2 linked regions of the Neodiprion lecontei genome follow. The protein of the gene in region 2 interacts with the protein of the main gene of each other region in a biochemical or structural test. Links are inferred from orthologs where the notes say so. Each region holds a gene or a part of one and is shown on either strand. Other genes may lie near its edges. The genes, in order: histone-lysine N-methyltransferase E(z) and metal-response element-binding transcription factor 2.

Region 1 (5,111 bases), about 9.7 Mb from region 2:
ATTGTGACTTGCTCAAAGTAATGTCATATTGTTATTAGCATTATCATTTTTCTTGCAAGCATTTACCGGTACTGAACGATTTAGGCATTTCAACAGCATTTCACAGATCTATGAGAGAGCAGAAAATATATACAAAATCTTGCAAAGCTTTTCATAAGCTTATAATATGTGAGCTTAGATATTCGCGAATATCAGTGAAACAATGACATGCAAGACAAACTCAAACTTTTACAAGGCAAGGAAATTTAAGCTAAAGAAAAAAAGCAGATAAAAAATTTTGGCTATCGTCAATGGCTCTGTTCGAATTGTCAAAAATAATATAGTCAGTTGATTAAAAAAAAAATATTTAAACATTTTCTGGGCTGTCTCCTGTGGAAAAGTTGAATATTTTATATTATGAACTTAAATTTTTGTTGATAAACTCTCAGCTGATCAATAAACTATTCCGATATCCCCTTGTGAGAAAAAGTTTTTAGATTTTTTTCGCGCACATTCGATGTAGCCAACCGCTCTGTTCAAAATATTTAAAAACTGAAAATCAGTTTGTTTTTATGAAATGGAAGTAAATAATATTGAATAATACAAGCATCTGAGATACAATCAAAACTTTGCAAACATATTGAATTTTTATAAAAAAAATGTTGAACTAGAATTTGAAATTTAAAAAATTATGTACTGCACAGATCCTCCAAGATCGTTATATACTTACGATGCAGAAAACAATCATATTTAAAACACCTTCTACAAAATAACGTATGAAAGGAATGCATTGTTTGTTCTCTAGGAACGCTTTTAGCATTAACACCATCTATGTTCGGCGTACATTCTGGAGGTAATGCATTTGGATCAGATCTTTCAGTAAGCTCAATGTACTTTTCTCGTAGCTCCTCAGGTCTACCTTTGTCAGGAAACATGCTTGATATAGCCTGTAAATATATTAAGGAAACATATTTCCATACATACACAGATTTCTGTTCAAACTGAATCTCAGGACAGATGAAACTGACTTCTGCAATGCTAAACACTTGTTACTTCAATTTACTAATTTTCAACTATAAAATAGTTTCGAAACTTGTTTCATAATACTTTAAGAATGCAGTCGACCTAATATCAAATAATAATCAAAATGGAAGTATAACATTCTTTCAAAAAATGTTTGAAGATTTCAACTTCAGATATGTCATGAGAAACTCGTTCAAACAACTATTTATGGCCAAGTTTTGATAGCCTGGATTAATAACTTTAAAGATTAGAGGTTTACATCTACAACTTTTGTCAGTCAAGATCTAGCAATAAACACACAGCCCAACCATTCAATCAGTATACCTGCAGCATGCTAGAACTGATGGTGAAAAAAAAATTTCAATTGATTCTCTGAGTAGTGTTTACTACCGGGAAGATATTTAATTTTCTAAGGAATAAAGCTGAATTACGGCTGAATTTTTTTGATAATACTCATACATTTATACTACTAACCACTACCATTAGTTACTAACCATATCCATTATTCTACAAGATTATTCATTATTTTTATTTATCATATTGTTTGCGGATAAGCAGCATTTAGCATTCTCAATTTGTTCTGAGAAACAATTGTTTTACGTCATTTGGGATATTAAATAGCTCACGTTGAATATGTGCATAGAAGGAAAAGGTGTAGTCCGAGATTCCTTGTCCCTAGAATCTTTTGAATCCTCGTCAATTTTTTCCAATTTCACTTCAATTTTCATACATTCCAACTCTGTTATTTCGCAATCATCATCTTTTGAACTTTCCTTATCTTTTGTGGATTCTTTACATTTCTTAGGTGGTTCCTTATCTCTGTCGTCTTTCTCATATAGCATCAGAGCATTTACCAAGTCAACAAATATAGAGTCATCCATAAAACCAGACTCTCGATCACCGTGAACCTAAAATATTCATGAATTCATAAAATTCATAGAATATTGATCAATTAGTAAAATGATACATTTTAGGATTGTTGTACTTGAAATTCCTTGAAAAAATTGCCTTTGTATGACCTTTAAATCCAAAAATTCAATCCCAATTATTCTTGTAAATTAGTATGATCATTATTTTGCACTAAAATTCTGCACTTCTCTTTGATTTTTGAGCTTTGGACAACTCACAACTCGCAAGCAAAACTTGACCTTACATAATATACATAAAATCTGACACATATAATAAATTTAAAATCTTTTCTTTCACAATTTTCAATTTTTTTTAGACTCTCTTCTTCTAATGCGCAATATGATGCATTATCTGTACATTTTATTATTGATTAGAATTGCCACATTGCATTGTTATAAAAAGCTCAGATGATCGTAAATAAATGTCTAAGAATTGATTTGTACTTTAAAATGATTACCTTGCCATCATAATTTTTTATCAACTCTTCAATAAATGTACCATCTTGATCAAGTATTTCGTCACCCATATATGGAATATTGTGTAAAACCGTCTCATCTTCAACCATAAAATTTTGTTGGATCGGCGCCCAAGTATACATAGTCGGTATAGGAGTTACAGCATTTATTATTTTTACTGGACACGTTTGAATATCACCGTCGGAGCTTGAAACCTCTGCTTTCTTCATACATGAAACATGAGGTGGAACCTCTTGCATGGCCAGCCATAGAGCCTTTCCATCTGCCCACCGTTTCTGCTCTATGACGAGCAGCTCTATCGAGAAGGCAAAAAAAATATCAGGTTCATTGTTCAAATATTTCAACAATTAAAGCTATGATTCCGATGTTTGTTAGCTAAAAGTAATTTCCAAACAAATTAAAAGATTTACGAATAGAATATGTCAATCGACAATAATAAAGACTAATTATTGTCGTGTAACAAAAATTGATTCAAAATGAAAAGTTTGTTTACCTGTCATAATTTTGCGATTCTGATTCCATGCTATTTTCACTTCATCAGCGCGCTTGTAACGTTTCAATTGTCGCAAGCGCATATACTCCGACTTTACACGTTTCTTCCACTCAGCCGAGACTTTAGCTTTCGACATTCCATTCACTTCTGGACACCTGATCAAAGATCGTGTTGCAAACGACTGCTATTTCGTCTTCTTCATAGAGAATTAGCTGCTACCTATCAGCCACGGAGTTGTAGCAGGTAGACAAAACTCTGCGATAAAACTTGTCCCCAGTTTTAAGGTAGCGTAAGAATTATCTGAATGCGGTTAAAGCGCCTCCTACGGACAAAAGTGAAATTGTACAAAAAGAAGGGCGGCGATGGCGGCGATCATCACCTATAAACCTCAATGCTATAAACATACTCCGTAAAATCCACCATTTGAAGTAAGTGAAAACCCGTAAAAACCAGTAAAGACCGAGTGATTGCTTTACCAACCTCAACCGACATTAAATCCGAGTAAAAGGTGGCAAAGGGTAAATCCATAGATGGTCTTGAACTGTCTAATCTAGGGACCTTGCCCGATGCCCCTTCCGTCTTTTTGGAAACTCCCGCAAGAAAGGGCTCCGCTTGGAGGCTGCGTCCATAAATCCGTGCAGATAATTGAGGTAAAAGCACGTCACGATCCATGTTTATATAAATATACATAGTCAATTCCTACCAAGTTCACTTCGGAACTTTACGATGACAGCAATGCTTTGGATAAAATCTAAAACTGCTAAACGATAAATTTTCGAGGACGATTTTTTCGTATGCTCTTCAATAGAGATCGGACTCCTGTTCTCTGGTCTCCATGGCTCGGGCGGTAAGCTGCAAGTTGATGTTCTCTATTGACAACGCAATCGACTGGTGCGTTCCGATATTAATTTCCAGTGCTGTCGACAATCTTTTATCTCTTTTGCGCTGCGGTGTTCGGGAGTAGCTCTGCCTCTGTCCTAAGAAATTTTTTAGCCCTGTCAGCTAATTTCAGAACGCACCCTCAGGGTGCTATTTCATGAGCAGTAAAAGGCAGCAGTGGTTTAGTAACTTACTAGTTTTCACTAGCATCAGTCTTGTAATTATACGCAGCAGCAGCGCTGCTCATGAAATAGGTCGTGGCTTCTTGTGATCTTGTGGCTTGTCGCTCCAGAAACTAGGTTTGTTCGTGCTAGCTACACTCTACACTCACGAGTGTAAAAAGAACTAGGGTAGTGTACTAGGGATTGCTGGGAAGTGTACGTCGGCTTCTTGACTGTAGCTAAAGATAGCGCGAACGCAATAGTGTAGAAGGTGCAGAAAAGTGGGGACAAGAAAATGGCGCACGTTACGAACAGTCGTTTTTTTTCTCGAAACACTTATTAATACAACAAATTAGTAAATAAGATAAAGCATTTTTGGAATTTGTTAAAGAAATCTTTCAGACCTTATGTTTTAAGTATACCGTTATCAAATTGAATGTTGTTTTTTAGTAAAATACTGTACTGCTTTGTTCTGATTTAGAGTGAGGTTATGGGTTTGTTGTCACTCGTGAGTTTTAAGGTATATCGCATCACAGTTCACTAACGTGGTGGAAAAACCTGTAGCATTCATGCCAATTGAACCATTTACACTTTTTACACTTTTTACACTTGGTCTAGACCGAATGTAAAAAGTGTACACAAAGGCCGTGTTCGAAAATTGACTGACAGTACTGTCAGCAATCTTTCATCTCTTTTGCGCTTCCAAGTTCGTGGATAGCTCCGACTCCGTCCTAGGGAATTTTCAGTACTGTCAGTCAATTTACGAACACGGTCAAAGTGTAACGAAAGTCTAGTGACATTTGTAAAACGAACAGCGCCATCCGACGTCACGTTCGCTAAAGCGAACGCGCAAGTGTACACTCCCCACGAAAGTGTAGAAAGTGTAGCAGTACGAACAAACCTACTGAACTGCGAGCAGCAGAAACTTGCGCCGGAAGTGATAGGGGAAAACTGCTGCAGCTGCTGCTTTTTACTGCTCATGAAATAGCACCCTTAATGAACAGCTCTGCTGCTGCGTCAAACTAGTAGACAGGTTTTTGTAACATCTAGTAAGTTACTAAACTCTTGCTGCTCTTTGCTGCCCATGAAATCCCACCTTAAGGGGGAAAATTGACCTTACAAATTCAATTTCCATATGTGTAAATACCACACCACACTTAAGTATTTATACGGTTTGAAGTACGGGCGGGT
Region 2 (5,027 bases):
CATTGAGTTTTTGGGCTCGGCAGGCTCTCGAGTCCTTGGTTGGCTGTCTATACATCTTTTGCACATCCAACGTGCTTCTGGAACTGTTTCTTCCTTAGCTATTTGCGGCTGAAACAAATATAATTGTTTCAATTATAACCGAATGCACGTGAATGAGAATGAAGCTAGTAAAATTTGTGAGATTTCTCTCATTCGTACTTGATGACATAGCTGGTGATAACCACGGCCACATTTATCACACACAACAATATCATTGTCAGCCTTGGGTTGTGACTTCTTGCACAATACGCACATCACGTCTGATTCTGGCATTGCCAGTTTTGCCAGCTCTTTTACCGATGACCAGGAAGACGTGTTGTCTAAAAATTTGACAAGACATCTTTCCCTGGCCAAATCCACCTGAAATCATTATAATATTTAGACATTGTAAACTCGTTCAAAGATCTTTTCAAACGCAAACTGAGAAGTCCTTTGATGAATGTGGTACTACCCGAAGATAAAATTCAACTTGCATGATCAAGCTTACCTCTACGACAGTACCAAGATAATATTTGCCATCTTTGTGCTGGAGAAGAACGTCTTCGCCATGAGAGAAACCGAGACGCTGCTCCTTAGTTGTACTATCCGGCACAGCCGGACTCTCCTCTGGCTCCGACATTTTCAACCCGGCTGCTGAAATTGTTGAAATAATTTTTCTCTCACAAATTTATACCACATATACAAAACGTCATGAGTTGATCCCTATCTTTCAAGTTTTAACTGACAAGTGGGCATCGTGATACAAATTTTTCAGGTTTGCAACATACTTACCATCAAAGGCTAATTTCCAAAATGGACAGTGTCGTAAACGCATTAATTCTTAAACGCAGATGTATTACCGAAACTTATGCGATAACCTTTCGAAGATAATCTCTCGAGAATTCTACTGTTCTCATTTTTCTTTCTTTGGTAAATTGATTGCTTTAGCACTGCGATGATGCAGAGTGTTCAGCGACTAGGTGATATGTAAAACTTTGTAACAAATGCAGATATCTCAACTTATGATTTCTGAGTTGCCACAATCATAACTCTGCATCAGGCTCATAGTACAATGTAAGAAACATGCATGTTCACTGTTCCAAGAAAAAGAAATAACCTCTCATTTATCGCCCTGTGATAATTCATTTTCAGTGATACATCAATACTCGCTACTATTTGTATTATGTAATTTACACCCCACTTGTATCACGCATGAATTTCTATTGATAAGTTATGATTCAAGTCGAAACAAAAGATTGTCTTCAAATGTTTTGACGATAAAATTTATAGATCAATGCAGTCTTTTATGACCAGTTGCCCTAGCATAAAAGATAATGTGAAAAGTTTAGCGGCTAATTGAAAAATATTAGAAACTTTCTTGCGATTGCATCGGTTGCCTTTGAATGCATAAATTTTACCATGGTTACAAGGTTCATAGAATAGTTAGTATCAAGACGAACTTTGCTCACAAACGAGATATTATGAATACCCAATCAGTAAGGTAAATAGGCGCATGCAGTTACAATAAGCATACCCGAATGATCAGTGGTAGTGAGACATTTTAAATTCCAGGATTTACAGAGATACGTTTTTCCCTGTTACAAAATAAAGGATTGACGCACACAAGTATGCATATAATTATGAAAAATGTACTTATGTTTGACTTGAATGAAAAATAAATGTTTCTGTGGCAGAGAGAAGGATCAGCATAAAGATATATGTACGCATATATATATACACACATACATACATACATACATATATGTATACGTATATTCGTCTAGATGCTGCAAATTAGGTGTTTGATATACTGACATGTTAAGCTACTATAAAACTAAGTTAGAAAACATTGAATTCAAGTCTAATGACGCGATGATATTGGCGTAAGAAATCTGGTCTTGTGAGTTTAATGAACATCCAATGATGTAGAGCAATTTCCTGTAAGAGGTATGTTGCAACATTTATAGAAATTAAATCCAATGAATGTGAGAGACGAAACCGGCAGGTGGTGGATGAATGTGGATAACATTGAGACATCGCTGGCAGTTGTGTCAGTTCAGTTATATCGATGATCGAGTCAAATGTGTGAAGGTTGAAAAAACATGAAGACAAAAGAGCGGGTACAGAAATGAATCTTTATAGATGGTAAAATCTTTATTGAAAACAATTACAGTATGTGTAAGTACAAAGGTGAAAAGAAATAAATGTATGAAAAGATGATTGAGGGTAAATTTTGGCTGCGCGTTGATAGAATCTGCGGGGGGAATATATTTTCGTTGGAAAACGGTACGAGTGGAAGACCAAAAGATTCGATAAGAAATAGAATAATGAATTTTAGGAAATAGGGATGAAACGAACGAAGGACATAATCAGAACCGAAATAAAATAAAAACAGTCGGATGTCTGGAGGACTTTCAGCCAGTGGGTCAATGCATGCAAGGTTTGAGAAAATCTGATCGAAGTCTCGGGGATTTTGAATGATATTCGAGTCGTCGGAGGACGGGGATAAAGTCGGAAACACGCCCAGGGGGTGCATGGGAGGTCGGTGTGCATCCCCCACAGACCGAATCAATCGTTTCATATAAGATAATCGTAGGACGAAACAACCCCGTGTAAAAAAGAGTAAAGAAGATAGAAGCCTGGGTGAGTTTGAGCGGTGTACTTGTGACATAAAATTGAAAGTTTCGCGATAACCAGCGCGATATTCTGAGGGTCGTACCTTGACGTCTAGGCCGGAATATCAGAGGCGAATGTTATTCTTCATTTTCCATCTCGTCAGCCATTTACAACCATGGGGGCCCCGCCACGGTTGCCCCGACAGACTCGGCCGCGCGCGGCAAAATCCTATTTCATTTAGTCTCCGCACAATCCCCACAGACTCGAATCACCTGTCGTTGTACCGATCGTTTCTTACATCCATTAAGTACGACTCGAGCTACCTCCCGCACTTACAGCTATTCATTTGTGCCGATTATTCGGTCTAATTTCATTCTAGATGTAACAAATTCGAATACATTCCGTCCGCCATGTTTGGGGAAACACTTGCTGGGCTGCTACGCGGGTCAAATCAGCGACCGAATAACCCAACATAAACAATCCTTGCATCGCACTGAAAAAATTCGAGCACTAAAGAACAAGGCCGGGCCGGTTTCGAGATATTTTTTAACCGACCGATCGGTGACCGAGACTTCGTTTCGATCCGACGCTAGTTCGTCAAACCGTGAAGCAGTCCAGTTTCCGCCTGACGGTACACTCACTGCCATAATGCTGTCCGCCTTTCCAATTTGTTTACATTCTGAAAGGTCCTTTAAACTCGTCGATGGGGGTGACAAATTAACCGCTGATCCGGACTCACCGCCGAACGAAATTGTGCCCTACCACCCTTCGACCGATCTACAACATTACGGCTGTATTTACATCGCTATCGGGAAAGACCAGAAGCCGGTCATTTTCGTCACATACTTCGTCGGCGGTCCGGTGGTGCATTCGTAATAACTTCATACCCACTTGCACACACGCCTGATTCTATAACCCGACACCCGGGTTTTATAGTCGTGTCGGGAATTGATCACGCGCACTGAACTCTACAAGCATCATTATGTCTATCGGCAACTGGCCGTTCATGTCTGACCTAAGGAACAATAGGGGGAAAATAATAATCGGGGCACTTGCAATGCAATATTTATATGCCTACGTATACGCGATGTTCGCTGCTGTCACGGGACCGCCAAGCCACAACATGTGACGTAAGAATTACGTGCATTATGTGTACTACGTGACGCACGTTCCTGTATCGCGACAACTGTAATCTTTTTTGCAAATTATAATGCACCGAGATTCAATCGCTTTTCACGCATTGTTTGCGTTCAATGATTTGCCATTTTGAAATCTTTGCACCGATTTCTTCCGCCATTCTTAATTCTTCTCCTTTCTTCTGCTCAGCGATGAAAAATTTCGCTGCATTGTTAATTTGAATATATAACAACAATGGAACGGAATTTATTAAGAGGAGGATAATACAGTTGACAAACGGAAAATATTAGGAAGATTCAATAGCTGTATGCACATGAGAAGGGAATGAAGATTGAGGAATTGACGTAGAAAATAAATATTACATTTTATTGGTGAATTCACTGTTACGGCTATAGATACGTGTTGTACAATTTTATTTTATACAATAAACTAAGCATATCAATGGTGTCTCATATTTCTCACCTTTCGTGCAGACAAACATACACACAAATTATACGTGAGGAAATATTTCAAAGCTTTGATCTCATAATATACACGATATAAAAAGCATTCGTAGGAAATGACTCTCAACACCGATGGTCTCAAAACGTTATTAGTGACAATCGTAATATGTCTATCAGGTATCGGCCGATGAATCAGTTACGAGCATCCGCCAAGTTCACTGCTATTTATAAAATATATACATTATTTATACATATACACATTTCTACATGAAGGATTTTGCAGCGTATATAATAACGAGGTCGAAGGTATAGGTAACGTTAAAGCAATGAAAAGTTGAAAGAAAGATTATTATTTTGCAACTTCAGAGTAACTTTCAAGGAATTAAGTTCGCGATATATGGGTATATGGCAATATTGTTAACGGTGTATTATGATTTACTGAATTTCAGACAATTCGAGATTTTCTGAAACTGCATCGTTACAATGACGTGACGTCTTTCAACCTCATTTGTAATTTCCAATTAACGTTTTCGTTTTTCAGAAGGGATTTTCTTCTTCGTAGTTAGTTTCGGCCTATCAATAAAAATTAAACACATACGTTGCATTAGGAAAATAAAGTGCGCATCGTTTATTAATACTGTAAGCTAGGTTGAATATTGTGCATTTGAGTTGTACGATAATATTATGGACAACATTCAAGATATAAATTCTATCGAATATTTCGTGCAGAATACAATCGCCAGGTGCTTGACACGCGATTCATTGATCAAGGAGTGTTCGGAATTTATCGAACTGTACGAAATATCGCCTGTG

What was found.
Region 1: the proteins of metal-response element-binding transcription factor 2 (region 2) and histone-lysine N-methyltransferase E(z) form a complex in vitro, tested with the Drosophila melanogaster proteins (2 studies listed by BioGRID). The link is inferred for Neodiprion lecontei from reciprocal best matches to the Drosophila melanogaster genes Pcl and E(z).

What each region holds. Positions count from the first base shown.
Region 1 is NC_060261.1:24,934,456-24,939,566, reverse strand, and holds the start of histone-lysine N-methyltransferase E(z), read right to left. Parts: upstream 3,105-5,111; 5' UTR 3,017-3,104; coding exon 2,881-3,016; intron 2,683-2,880; coding exon 2,369-2,682; intron 1,911-2,368; coding exon 1,629-1,910; intron 927-1,628; coding exon 710-926; intron 1-709. UniProt on the Drosophila melanogaster protein: Polycomb group (PcG) protein. Catalytic subunit of the Esc/E(z) complex, which methylates 'Lys-9' and 'Lys-27' of histone H3, leading to transcriptional repression of the affected target gene.
Region 2 is NC_060261.1:15,228,741-15,233,767, forward strand, and holds the start of metal-response element-binding transcription factor 2, read right to left. Parts: upstream 3,209-5,027; 5' UTR 2,738-3,208; intron 673-2,737; exon of another isoform or gene 670-672; 5' UTR 659-669; coding exon 527-658; intron 400-526; coding exon 199-399; intron 109-198; coding exon 1-108. UniProt on the Drosophila melanogaster protein: Polycomb group (PcG) protein.